Arabidopsis thaliana: one gene and its partner. The protein of the gene in region 2 interacts with the protein of the main gene of each other region in a pairwise test. Each region holds a gene or a part of one and is shown on either strand. Other genes may lie near its edges.

What was found. The genes of interacting proteins can lie anywhere in the genome.
Region 1: the proteins of AT2G20100 (region 2) and AT1G03040 interact in binary tests that used the Arabidopsis thaliana proteins (3 or more experiments, as listed by UniProt).

The regions. Positions count from the first base shown.
Region 1 is NC_003070.9:703,348-708,429, forward strand, and holds AT1G03040 (basic helix-loop-helix (bHLH) DNA-binding superfamily protein), read right to left. Parts: upstream 3,318-5,082; 5' UTR 3,111-3,317; coding exon 2,754-3,110; intron 2,310-2,753; coding exon 2,187-2,309; intron 2,021-2,186; coding exon 1,955-2,020; intron 1,783-1,954; coding exon 1,717-1,782; intron 1,322-1,716; coding exon 932-1,321; 3' UTR 502-931; downstream 1-501. Other genes in the region: AT1G03030 (P-loop containing nucleoside triphosphate hydrolases superfamily protein), read left to right, coding at 6-34, 135-221; AT1G03050 (ENTH/ANTH/VHS superfamily protein), read left to right, coding at 4,379-4,842, 4,957-5,082.
Region 2 is NC_003071.7:8,675,985-8,682,676, forward strand, and holds AT2G20100 (basic helix-loop-helix (bHLH) DNA-binding superfamily protein), read left to right. Parts: upstream 1-1,975; 5' UTR 1,976-2,200; coding exon 2,201-2,499; intron 2,500-2,745; coding exon 2,746-3,019; intron 3,020-3,147; coding exon 3,148-3,231; intron 3,232-3,982; coding exon 3,983-4,048; intron 4,049-4,162; coding exon 4,163-4,228; intron 4,229-4,563; coding exon 4,564-4,620; intron 4,621-4,824; coding exon 4,825-4,869; coding exon of another isoform or gene 4,870-4,932; exon of another isoform or gene 4,933-5,489; coding exon 5,490-5,825; 3' UTR 5,826-6,191; downstream 6,192-6,692.

The sequences.
Region 1 (5,082 bases), on a different chromosome or scaffold from region 2:
TACAGGTAAACCCCCAGATGTTGCTAAATGGCGGGTAAAAGCTCTGGCTCTACTCTACTTAATATTCAGTTACATGGTTTCAATGGTTTGTTCAAGGTAGCTAGCTGCTTCTTTTTTTCAAATTTGGATGGCAGGTGGATTATAATGACCGACCCAACGCAGAGCTGATAATAAAGTCAAAGACAAACGCTGATCTACTGATCAGATCTATGAACATTTGAATCTACTTTCAAGGGGGCTATTGGACGAAACAGAATAAGATGAATAACAAAAGACAATGTTGCGCTTCAAGGGAAGATTGCCTTTGGTCTACAATGTCTTTTTCTTGCAACGGAAACTTCCAATAAGCAATTTGTTCGCAGTAAACTGTGTATGCTAGTGTTCTCTGCATACTCACGGATTTTGTTCAGACAATGTGTTTTATACTTCTAAATTAGAAGTTCTAATGCATAAAGTGTTTGAATGCGCGGGAAATTACCTAATTATAATCAGTCCAGCTCCCAACTATATCATTTTGAATAGTTAAATGGTCTATCCAAATTAGTGCAAGAAAAAAAAGAGAGGCAAAACCATAATATAATACCAACATTTGTTTTTTCTTCCTTTTTTACATAATTCAGAAACACGATCCCACACCTTCATTACTATTACTACAGCTAGCACTACCCTCAAAGCCCTTGGTCCTGAAAATCACACTAAAGTCTTTGAACAAAAAAGAGTTACTTTCATCAAAATGATAAATACTAGCCAAGCAAGCGAGAGCTTTTTCCTTCTTTTGACAGATCCCGTTTTACTTCTTTACTGCACAAATCCTACTTAGATTCCATCTCCAATGCCTTTTTACTTACCTTTCATGAGTCACAAAAGTCTAGTAGTGGGAAACAGAGCAAAATGTCAATCATCAGCTGGGGACCGTTGGATGAACAAAAATCTACGGTGGAGGATTCATCTCTGGTTTGACGATTGAAGAAGATGTGTCTGGTGGCTGAGAATGGTAAATCGCCATTGCCAATGAGATCGGCATTATGCAAAGAGCCTTTGATTGCAAAAGTTGCATCGCTGCTCCAACGTTTTCTTCCATCAGCTTAGCCACTTGCCTCTCTGTCCCATCGTTTGACCATTTCTCCCACACGGCCTGCGTCTCATCCTGAAGAAAGTTTTTACACCACAAGTCAGTGCAAGAAAAACCATTACCAAAGTTCTGTTCTTTTTTTAATGAAGTATCTCTCTCTAGTCTAACCTCAACTGATGAAGATAATGGCATTTCAGTGACTAGTGGTGCGACAGCACCGGCTCCACCAAGACGGCTCATGCTCAGGACCTGCCATAGTTGACCAGAGATAAAGCTTATGAAGGAAAAATATTATCAAAGCCCATCATTGCATAAAATATTCTTCAATGTTCTCATTAGCTTTATTACAATAGTCCTCAATTGTGATGATTCTCCATGGGAGGGAAGCAAGCAAAAAGTGAAAGACACTAATGCCAAAAAACACACAATCATGTACTCTTTGATTACTCTTTATTGCCAGATTAAACAATTATAATCTTTTATTAAGATTGGAAGTTTGGTTTAAGAGAGTAGGTGGTGGTGGGGACCAAGGATTTACACCACTAAATCCTTCTGGCTGTTTTAAATAATCTTTCTACAAACTTTTAATGATAGCATTTTCAAAAACCAGAGAATAGAAAACTGAAAATGACTTGGGTGTTTACCTTAACTTGGAGCCTGAGAAACTTTACATAATCGACAATCTCGTCGATCATAGCAGCCCTATCTGTCTGCAAAAGGAAAGCAAAAGAAACAGATGTGAATACCGCAGTTTCTATATGCCAATCACAAAACTTTTCTCTCATTGACAACTCTAGTTTTCTCCCTACTTTTAAAATCTCTTTCAAGCTCTCTTCGCGACATGAAAACAGTAGCTGAAGCTCTAGAGAAAAAGATACCAACCTTGTTAACGGTAGGTACAAGTTCCTGCAACGACCTGATCCGTTCTGCTATTCTTTCCCTTCGGAGCTGTTGCAAAGCAAATACATTCAGGTTAGGTCTTACCGTTCTTAGTAAGTAAGAACTAATCGAACTTTCTCAACCAAAAGCTATAATTAAAGCTTTGATCAAACATTATCACATAAAAATCGAAAAAAGAGACCAGAAGATAAAAAAAGTGTATCAAACATCTTACCCTCTCAGCGATGCTATGTGGATCGGTAGCTTGACCTCGCCTAGCCCTAACTCTAGGCCGAATAGTAGACTGTTGATGCGGCATTGGTGGAGCTGGCTGTGACATTGGCTGCCCATGGAAAATCTTCAACAAAACACAAAACAATGCCGTAATAACATTAAGAAAAGCTTAAAAACCGCTTCTCACAAGAACGGTCGCCACTAGAGTAGTTATAGCAACAATTCAAACTATGACGGAATTATCCACATGAGAAAAGAAACTAAAGAGCAAATTTTCTTACAATATAATTTGGACATAAAAGAACACTCTTTTATACTAAAGTTTCTTGCAAAACTAATTTTAGTGTTATGACTTTAAAACACATCAAAATCTTCAACTTGGGTTTCTTCAAAAACATCAAATCTCACCAATCTGAGCCAAAAACTCTCGGTAACTATCAAATTTAGACCTAAGCTGGGTTTTCTCAAAAACGACACCATTTTGAAACCCTAAAGATTTGAATTTCACTTTATTTTCTCGAGAACACAAAAGAAAAAGACAAAGTGAAGATTCTGAAGAGAAACTTACAGGTTTCATAGAGGAACATCGATTATCAAGAACATCGTCTTGGAAACGTTTACCAGTTTCATCAGGTTTAAGAAAGCCATGTCCTTTCCCTTGATCGAGACTTAATCCCAACGGAAACATCTGATTATGAAACCCTACAGGTCCACCTCCTCCAATGGCACCCATATGATTATGATTCCCTTCGTTGCCTGAACCAAGCTGAAGCATCATCGGAGGTGGACCCACGCCGCCGATTCCAGAGAGACCAGAACCTGAAGAACCGGAGAAGTTGGAAAGCCCGAGGATCTGCTCGAAGAAATCGTCGGTAGGAGATGGATCGGAGATGCTATCATGTGGGATGTTGTTGTTATTAGCCATGAAGGAAACGAGTAAAGGTTTGAAATTTTCGACTCAGTGGAGCTGGGTGAGTTAAAAGATAGCGAGTTAGAGAAGAGAAGTCGAAGAACAACTTTCCATGCGAAGAATCTTGTGTGGAGTTGTTAGGTGAGAGAATGATGATGCTTAAGCTAATGAGGACGAAGAGACACAGACGAGAAAGGATATGACAAAAAGACTCACTTTATGCTCTCTTTCATTTTATTTTTGTTAAAAGGACCTTACTTTGTGGTTTATTTTCGGTTTTGCCCTTGTTCTTATATACCTTCCAGAAACTTGAAGTGGGCTTTATTTGTTTTGAAGTGGGCTTTTTGTTTTGACTTTCTTCAATTTATTCATATCAAATTAAGAAAAAGGTCTTTTACCAAACTCTTTTTAGTAGAATGTTAAAAACCAATATAACTTTCTTTTTTTAAAATATATAAATGATATGGGAAAAATTCTACGCATTGTCGGGGTCGTCGTCATCTCGTTAGTGGTAGAAAATAAGATTTTTTTAAAAAAATCTGTCTTTGTCGTTTTTTCCGAAATTTAGCACTCATGGAGTAAAGTTTCTAATATCCAATATAAAAATGACACGTTTCATTTTGCCATATGGTATTACAACTTGCTTCTCCTTAGTGCTGAACCGTTGTCCGACTCGTTTTCCATTTTGAGAGACAAGGGTTTTTCTATTTTTCACAAAACAAAATTGTGGCATTTCTGAATATAATACGAGTAAAAAATATGTCAGCAGAAATGGGCTTGGATCGATTTTGATTTGTTGGATTCCATAATTCAATCTTGGGCTTCCAATCCATAAGAAAAAAGCTTGGTGTATTTTTTTTTACAAATTAGAAGAAAGTTTTTTCCTCTTTAATCAGTACTCTTCTCCTTACCCATTAATGGCAAATGCAAACTAAATTTCAGTTGACCCGTCAAACAATAAGTTAATTTTTTGCCACGTGGCCATATTTCTCACCGGACAAAGCCTCCAATAACCTCGGCGACTTTAGATGGTGAATAATCGACGAACAACAAAGAAACTACATTGACGAAACAAACAAACAAAAACATAGAAGAAGAAGAAGAAGAAACAAAACAAAACTAAACAAGAAACAGAGGAGAAAAAAGGAAACGACGAGGAAAAACAAAAACAAAATAAAAACAAGCCTCGTTCTTCCCTTTTCTCTCTTCAAATCTTTTCTTTTACATATTTTCTTTTCTTTTTTTTGTCTTTAATACAAATTTACTAACTAATCAGAATAAAAATGGGTTCGAGTAAGTTTAAACGAGCCATAGGAGCCGTAAAGGACCAAACCAGCGTCGGTCTAGCCAAAGTCAATGGTCGAAGCGCTTCTTTATCTGAACTTGACGTAGCCATCGTCAAAGCCACTCGTCACGAAGAGTTTCCAGCAGAAGAGAAATACATTAGAGAGATTCTTAGCCTAACTTCTTACTCACGCAGTTACATCAACGCTTGCGTTAGCACGCTTTCGAGACGCCTTAATAAAACCAAATGCTGGACCGTTGCCCTCAAAACCTTGATTTTGATCCAAAGGCTCTTAGGAGAAGGAGATCAAGCCTACGAGCAAGAGATCTTCTTCGCCACTCGCCGTGGAACAAGGCTTCTCAATATGTCTGATTTTAGGGATGTTTCGAGGTCTAATTCTTGGGACTACTCTGCGTTTGTCAGGACTTACGCATTGTACCTTGACGAAAGGCTTGATTTCAGGTAAGAGTTCTTGTGCTTGATCCAGGTTCCGATTCGGGATTTCAAGTTATTTATGTAATTTGAATGATATCTAAGATATGCGGTTTTTTTTTTTTTTTCATTGCAATTTTTGAGGATGCAAGCGAGACACGGGAAACGTGGAGTTTACTGCGTTGGAGGAGAAGCTGACGAAGAAGAACAGGATCAAGCTGCGGCAGATCTCTCCACGGCTATCGTGGTCAGGTCACAACCGATCGCCGA
Region 2 (6,692 bases):
TTGAACTATTTGTATTGTAGTTTATACCTGTAATTTTTTTTTTTACATATATAAAATTTCTTGGAAATTGTAATCATTCTTTGGAGAGACAGAGGGATCTCCAAACCCTAGAAATTGACTCCTTCGAGAAATGTTGCCTTCTTGGTGTAAAATGAAAACTAAATTCTACTCCAAGAATTATTTATATTATTATTTTTAATTCATTTTTGCAAACGAAAAAAAAATCCACCGTTTCGCCTTCTAGTCGGGATTGAATGCGTCACCATGAAATCATGCTTTAATCATATTCTGCGTGAGTGGGAAAACAACTATTTATAAGTACATAGTACTACTTTTTGGATTAAATATTTCCCTCCACTTTAAACCAGAGGTGCATACTGCATAATATAGGTAACCTTCAAAAATTGTTAGTATTTTTTCTTACTCTAACATGCTCAAATTACAAGAAAAAATTGCATATATGTATGGTGATTTAAAGCCGATCCTTTAAATGTTTCCACGGTTTTCGTTCATGAGCCTCATTGTATATATATAATATATAATTTTAGCACGTTGGAATGAGAAAGAAAATTGATAATGGATAAGTTTTATTAACATACCAAAATAATAAACTTGTTTATGTTACATGAAGTTCAAAGAGGTAGCCTCTAAAATGAAGAATACTTAACAGAATAAGCAAATATACATTTTTGTTTTCCTTATATTTGATTAATCCCACAAAGATACAAATTACTACTATTAATTAAGCAACTTATCTTAGAGGGATAAGTGAACCATTTGCTTTGAAATGGAAAAACTTTGCTTTAGTTGATGTCTATATATCTATGAATTTGTTTCCCTAACATGTTTTTTACGTCAATATTTTTAATCTATATCTGACACAATCAAGTAGACAGTTATTATACCTAACACATTATCAGGTAGTCTATAGACTCTATACCATTTTAAATGTTTAACGCATGTAAGTTAATCACATACTCTATGATCTGGTGGTTTATTTGTTAAAAGTGAATTTTTATTCTCCAATGAATTAATGATATCAAGACAGAGCAACAACTAATTTTAATTAGTTTTTTTTTGGTATAAGAAGAGTCATATAAACTTTTGAGTCATTTAAACGTAATTAGCTTTGTTAAATGAAATTCCTTTTTAAGTGGGTACGTATAAAACCCTACGCAACGCATGTTGATCCATTTAAGTCACCATCAACAAAAAGAATTATATAAATCATTGGTTGGATGAAGAAATTATTATATGAACAAAAACAGGACAAATATCTTAACAAAATTAAATTCTCTGAACTTATCGTATAATAAATTAGTAATTTAAATCACATCAAACTGAACTAAATATATGGAATTAAAAGGGTTTAAAATACATTTGATAATTTGATGTAAGAAATATGCATAGATGCAAAATACTTGTTATATATGTGGGAAATATCAAAAATTTATATTCGAATATGTTATACACCGTACAAAAAAGTCTTCGAATATATAACCCGGGTCACCTTTTCTCTTATGGCAAAAAATATAACCCCTTTTCTGTTTCTAATTTTAAAATTTTGCATTCTTGATTCTGAGCTCATAGTTCGATGAAATATAATCTAGAGAAAAAAAAAAAACATAATTCGATTAAATAACAAAAGCACCTTTCCCTCCCTACTTTATGCATAAAGCTAAAGCATGGACAAAAATGAAGTATAGAAAAATGAATTACTGATTATAACAGTCTTTCTTAATTAATCTAGTAAATATTTATACATAGTACTGTATTACATAAACTTACACACTTAGGTTTATCTGTATCATGGTTAGATTATCGTAAAGACTAAAGACTATAATATTGTGTTCATGAATTAGAAAACTTATTCCTCCGTTCATCCAAAATTAGTTAATCGTTATATCGAATATGGTCCATATGGGCATCCATATTTTCAGAAGAAAAGAAAAAAAGAAAGTAAAAGCATGTTAGGGGAAAAAATAAAAAATAAAAACAGAGAAAAAAAATCGAGAGAGGGAGAGAGAATGGTGTTAAATACATAAAAAACCCATCATTGACATGTATCGATTGCTCAATTTGTTTGTCTCTCTCTTCTTCTTTCCTTTTCTCCAAAAACTAGAGCCTAAACTAAAGCATCGAGAAACAACAAATCTTAAAATCTTTTCATATTCTCGGTTAGTAGAAACTAGGAAAAGAGATGAATAGAGGAGTGTTGGAGAGTTCGCCGGTTCAACATCTCACGGCGGCTGGAAACCCTAATTGGTGGAATAATGTCAGCCGCGGCTTGAGGCCACCAACGCCGTTGATGAGTCACGAGCCGCCGTCTACCACCGCTTTTATTCCAAGTCTCTTGCCAAACTTCTTCTCTTCTCCGACTTCCTCTTCATCTTCTTCACCTTCTTTCCCTCCTCCTAATAGTAACCCTAACTTCTCTTCTTGGCTTGAAATGAGTGATCTGCCTCTTGATCAGCCATGGAGCCTTAGTCAACTCCTCTTGTAACTCCCTTTCTCTCTCTCTCTCTCTCTCTCTCTCTCTCTCTCTCTCTCTCTCTCTCTCTCTCTATCTATCGTTCGGATGTTTTCTATGTATAAACGGTTTTGAGTTCTTGGATTTGTTTTGTAATCTAATTCGATCTTATAAAGTTTCTTTCTCTTTTTTTTTTCTTTCTCATGTATACATAATCTACTTATATTATTTCATATAAACAAACATGATCTAATATGGATTGTCTTTGAATGAAGGGGTGGATTGATGATGGGAGAGGAAGAGAAAATGGAGATGATGAACCATCATCATCATCAAAATCAACACCAAAGTTACCAAGCGAAGAGGATACAAAATTGGGAAGAACAAGTTTTGAGGCACCAAGCTTCCATGAAACAAGAGAGTAGTAATAATAATAGTTATGGAATAATGTCCTCACCAAACTCACCTCCAAACAAATCTTGTGCTACAATTATCAACACCAATGAAGACAACAACAATAACATTCACAGTGGTCTTAACTTGTCCGAGGTGGGTCAAAATAGTGAATTATTCAGATCAAGATATAATCTTTACCAAATATTAATTAACATCTCCATATTTTTTCTTTATCAATGAATATATCTGAATTTTGTTTCTGTCTATGTGTGTTCATGAAGTGTAATAGCTCAGAGATGATTGGGTCTTCTTTTGCTAATAAGAAACCAAAACTTCAAGTTCCTTCATCACAATCAACTCTCAAGGTAACTAACTAAATCCATATGTCTTTGGTTCTATCTCTTGCTGGCATTTTAAATAACAAAACAAATGCACAAACATAAAGGAGAAGTAGAAAAAAACAAAAGAGAATGGGCACAGAATAAGCTGCATGTGTGTGTGATTGTAACATTTTTGTCTTTCTTATGTGTCTTCTTCTTCTTGATCCTATTATTCTTTTTTCTCTTCCTTTCCTATGATTCAACGGTAGTTACGCAATCCTTTTTTGTTAGTTTTTATTTTAAAATGAGAAATAGATACTAAATCTGTTTTTTCAGTTTGATTCAGTTTTAGCTCAGCTTTCCTTTTCTAACAAAAAAATAAAAATTATCGAAGTTAATTAACTTTATTATGTTTTCTCCTTCTTGCTCTGTTTATTTTGTTCTGTCTAAATTGATATTGTTATGTTTGTAACAAAACATAACTTTATTTTGATCAGTTATCAAAATGTGTCATTCTTTTTCCTTTTTTTTTGTTTGGATCTTGGATCAAGTTTTGGTTAATGTTTGATTTAATCTAAGTGCATATTCCTTCTACAATATCAAAATTCCTATGTTTATGTATAATTTGCACGCTCATACTAACAAAAACTAATCATATATTAAAGACTTGAATGATCTTTTTCCTTTTTCCCATTTTAAAATAGATAAAATCACTCATAGATCTAATTACATTCGTTAAATTACGAAATGATCACATGTAGAGTGTATTTATATACGATCTCTGTATTTATCAAAGGTGAGAAAGGAGAAACTTGGAGGCAGAATAGCATCTCTTCACCAGCTAGTATCTCCCTTTGGCAAGGTATAATTACTGATTAGTTCCCTTTACTAATCACTTGTTTAAGATTATCTAATCTATGAATCAAAATTGAATTATATTAGTCACTGTTTGGTTGATTGATCCCTTTTATTTCAGACTGACACAGCCTCTGTCTTGTCGGAGGCTATTGGATACATTAGATTCCTCCACAGTCAAATTGAGGTGACTTGTCTTTTCCAAACTACCATGCTTCTTATTTCATTTATTTCAAGACAAATATTTATTTGAATCTTCCTCACAACTACAACACAAATAATCATTTGTGAACCCAAGTATGGAATTATTTGGAGTTCTATCTTCCTTTTTTATTTGGGATTTTTTTTAAATCATAATAAGAACTGAATAACATAAGTAAATTGTATTCTATTGAAACAATTAGCTGAGGTTTATGTATTTCTATAGCATTAATTAATTTAACGACTATATTTTGTGAGATTAGTTTTGTGTGAAAAACTATTTAGTTTTGTTGTCACTCTAATTAATTTTCACAATTACAGGCTTTAAGTCTACCATACTTTGGTACTCCCTCGAGGAACAATATGATGCACCAACATGTAAGTATTAAATTAATATACAGCTTTAATTAGTAACATGTATAATGTAATTATACACTACAAGATGCACATACATGCATGGGTTTCTACTAACACATCATATATATATAATGGGGCATTAAAATGTATCTTTTTTTTTTTGGTAAGTGCATTAAAATGTATCTGAATGCTAATCATTATTAATTTGTAATTACGTGAATATAGGCACAAAGAAATATGAATGGTATATTTCCTGAGGACCCTGGTCAGGTACGCACATATATTTTTTTACTTTCTAGTTTTATATACTTTACTTTTTATTGGATCAACTAAACCCAAATCTCAATTTAAAAAAAATAAATACTTGCCAGCTTTATTCCAAAACAATTACCCTTTTTCTCTACTATTGTTCTCTTGAAATTGAAATGACTACGATAAAGTATGGTCAATAAAATAAAAAGATGACATTACCAACTTTCCTTTTCAGTCCTCTATTAAACCTAGAAAAGCCATTTAAATGATTTATTATATTTATTTTCCTCAATCAGAGTAGCTTTGGTCACAAAAGTTTTTTTGGCAAATGATCGATCTAAATCAACTTTTCCAACCAAGATATCACGATTCACCTGTCCCACAAATGGTTTTATATTTTGTGACTACTTGTGAGTTTGAAATTAACTCTGACTCAAAATTTTAGCAATATTTTTCAAAGCAAAATTTATCGCTTTTCAAATTCAGAAAATTAAATACAAAATACTCACACTCAAAGGTATTAAACCCGCGGATTGGTGCACAAAACAGTAAATATTCATTTTTTGGTTGCAAAACAGTAAATATTCATGAAACTGGCATAGGTTATTTTATCCATATATCATTTACATGTAATACAGGCCGACCCACCGCAAAAGAATTTGGGCTGTTGCGAAGTAGGCCAACCCGTTTTGTCACCAATACTCCCACTAGATCACACTTTCAATATTATTTTAAATATCTATGCTGAAGAAATATTTTCTGATTTGGTTAATCAGCTTGTGAATGAGTATTGCATGAAAAGAGGAGTTTCATTGTCATCGACGGACAATCAAAAATCAAATCCTAACGAAGAACCGATGAAAGATTTGAGAAGTAGAGGGCTTTGTCTTGTTCCCATCTCATGCACACTACAAGTTGGCAGCGACAATGGTGCCGACTATTGGGCTCCGGCGTTCGGAACCACTCTCCAGTGAACTATTCACTTTCTGTTATTTTATTTTTGGTCAGCCAAAAAAAAATAGTAGATGTTATAACATCATGAGCAACCAATCAATTGAGAAAACATCAAAATGAGTTTCCAAATTTGATTGCTCATGATGCTATACTAAAACCGATTGGTTTTGGCGTTTGGCCTTTGAGCATTTTCAGTTGACGAGTATGAGATGGCTTGTTGAATCATGTTTTTCTTACTTTAATAGGAAACTTTATTTATTCTCTTAATGTATATGTTGGTTCTATTTTAATTTTATTATTGTTATAATAGAATGGTTAAACAGTTAAAGATGTTTTCATACTAACTTCATCACTAGGTTTAATCGTTTAAGATGTTTTAAAGAAGCAAGAAATGTTGTCTTCGGAAAGAAAACAGATGTACTTATAGATACTTTCTGTTCCCAATAATTTAGAGACTAATGATTTCTTTTATAAATTGTCCTAATCAAAGTTTCGTTTGTTTTAGTTGTCTTTTTAGATTTCTCGTGCATGGTCTCAGCTCAGTTTATTTTTAGACACTTCAGACATCTCACCATGGTATTGGAATTGGTAGTGCTCAATTGGTGGGTTTATTATAAGCCCTTTGCTCCATCACTATAATTGGGTTTATGGACTTTGAATTAAATTCTACAGGCCCATGGGTTTATGGATATTGTTTTCAGCACATGTCAAATGTCAATATATGAAAAATTCAATGTGGAGAAACTTCTGGTGGCTTCATAAAGAGTAAGACTGCATTTCCTGATAGTAGTAGTGTACTGGTGTGGATGCAGATAACGTTATTAGAAATCAAAATTGAAAAGGTAGCTATTTTTAGGTCACATATTGTATCATTAATAGTCATTGTT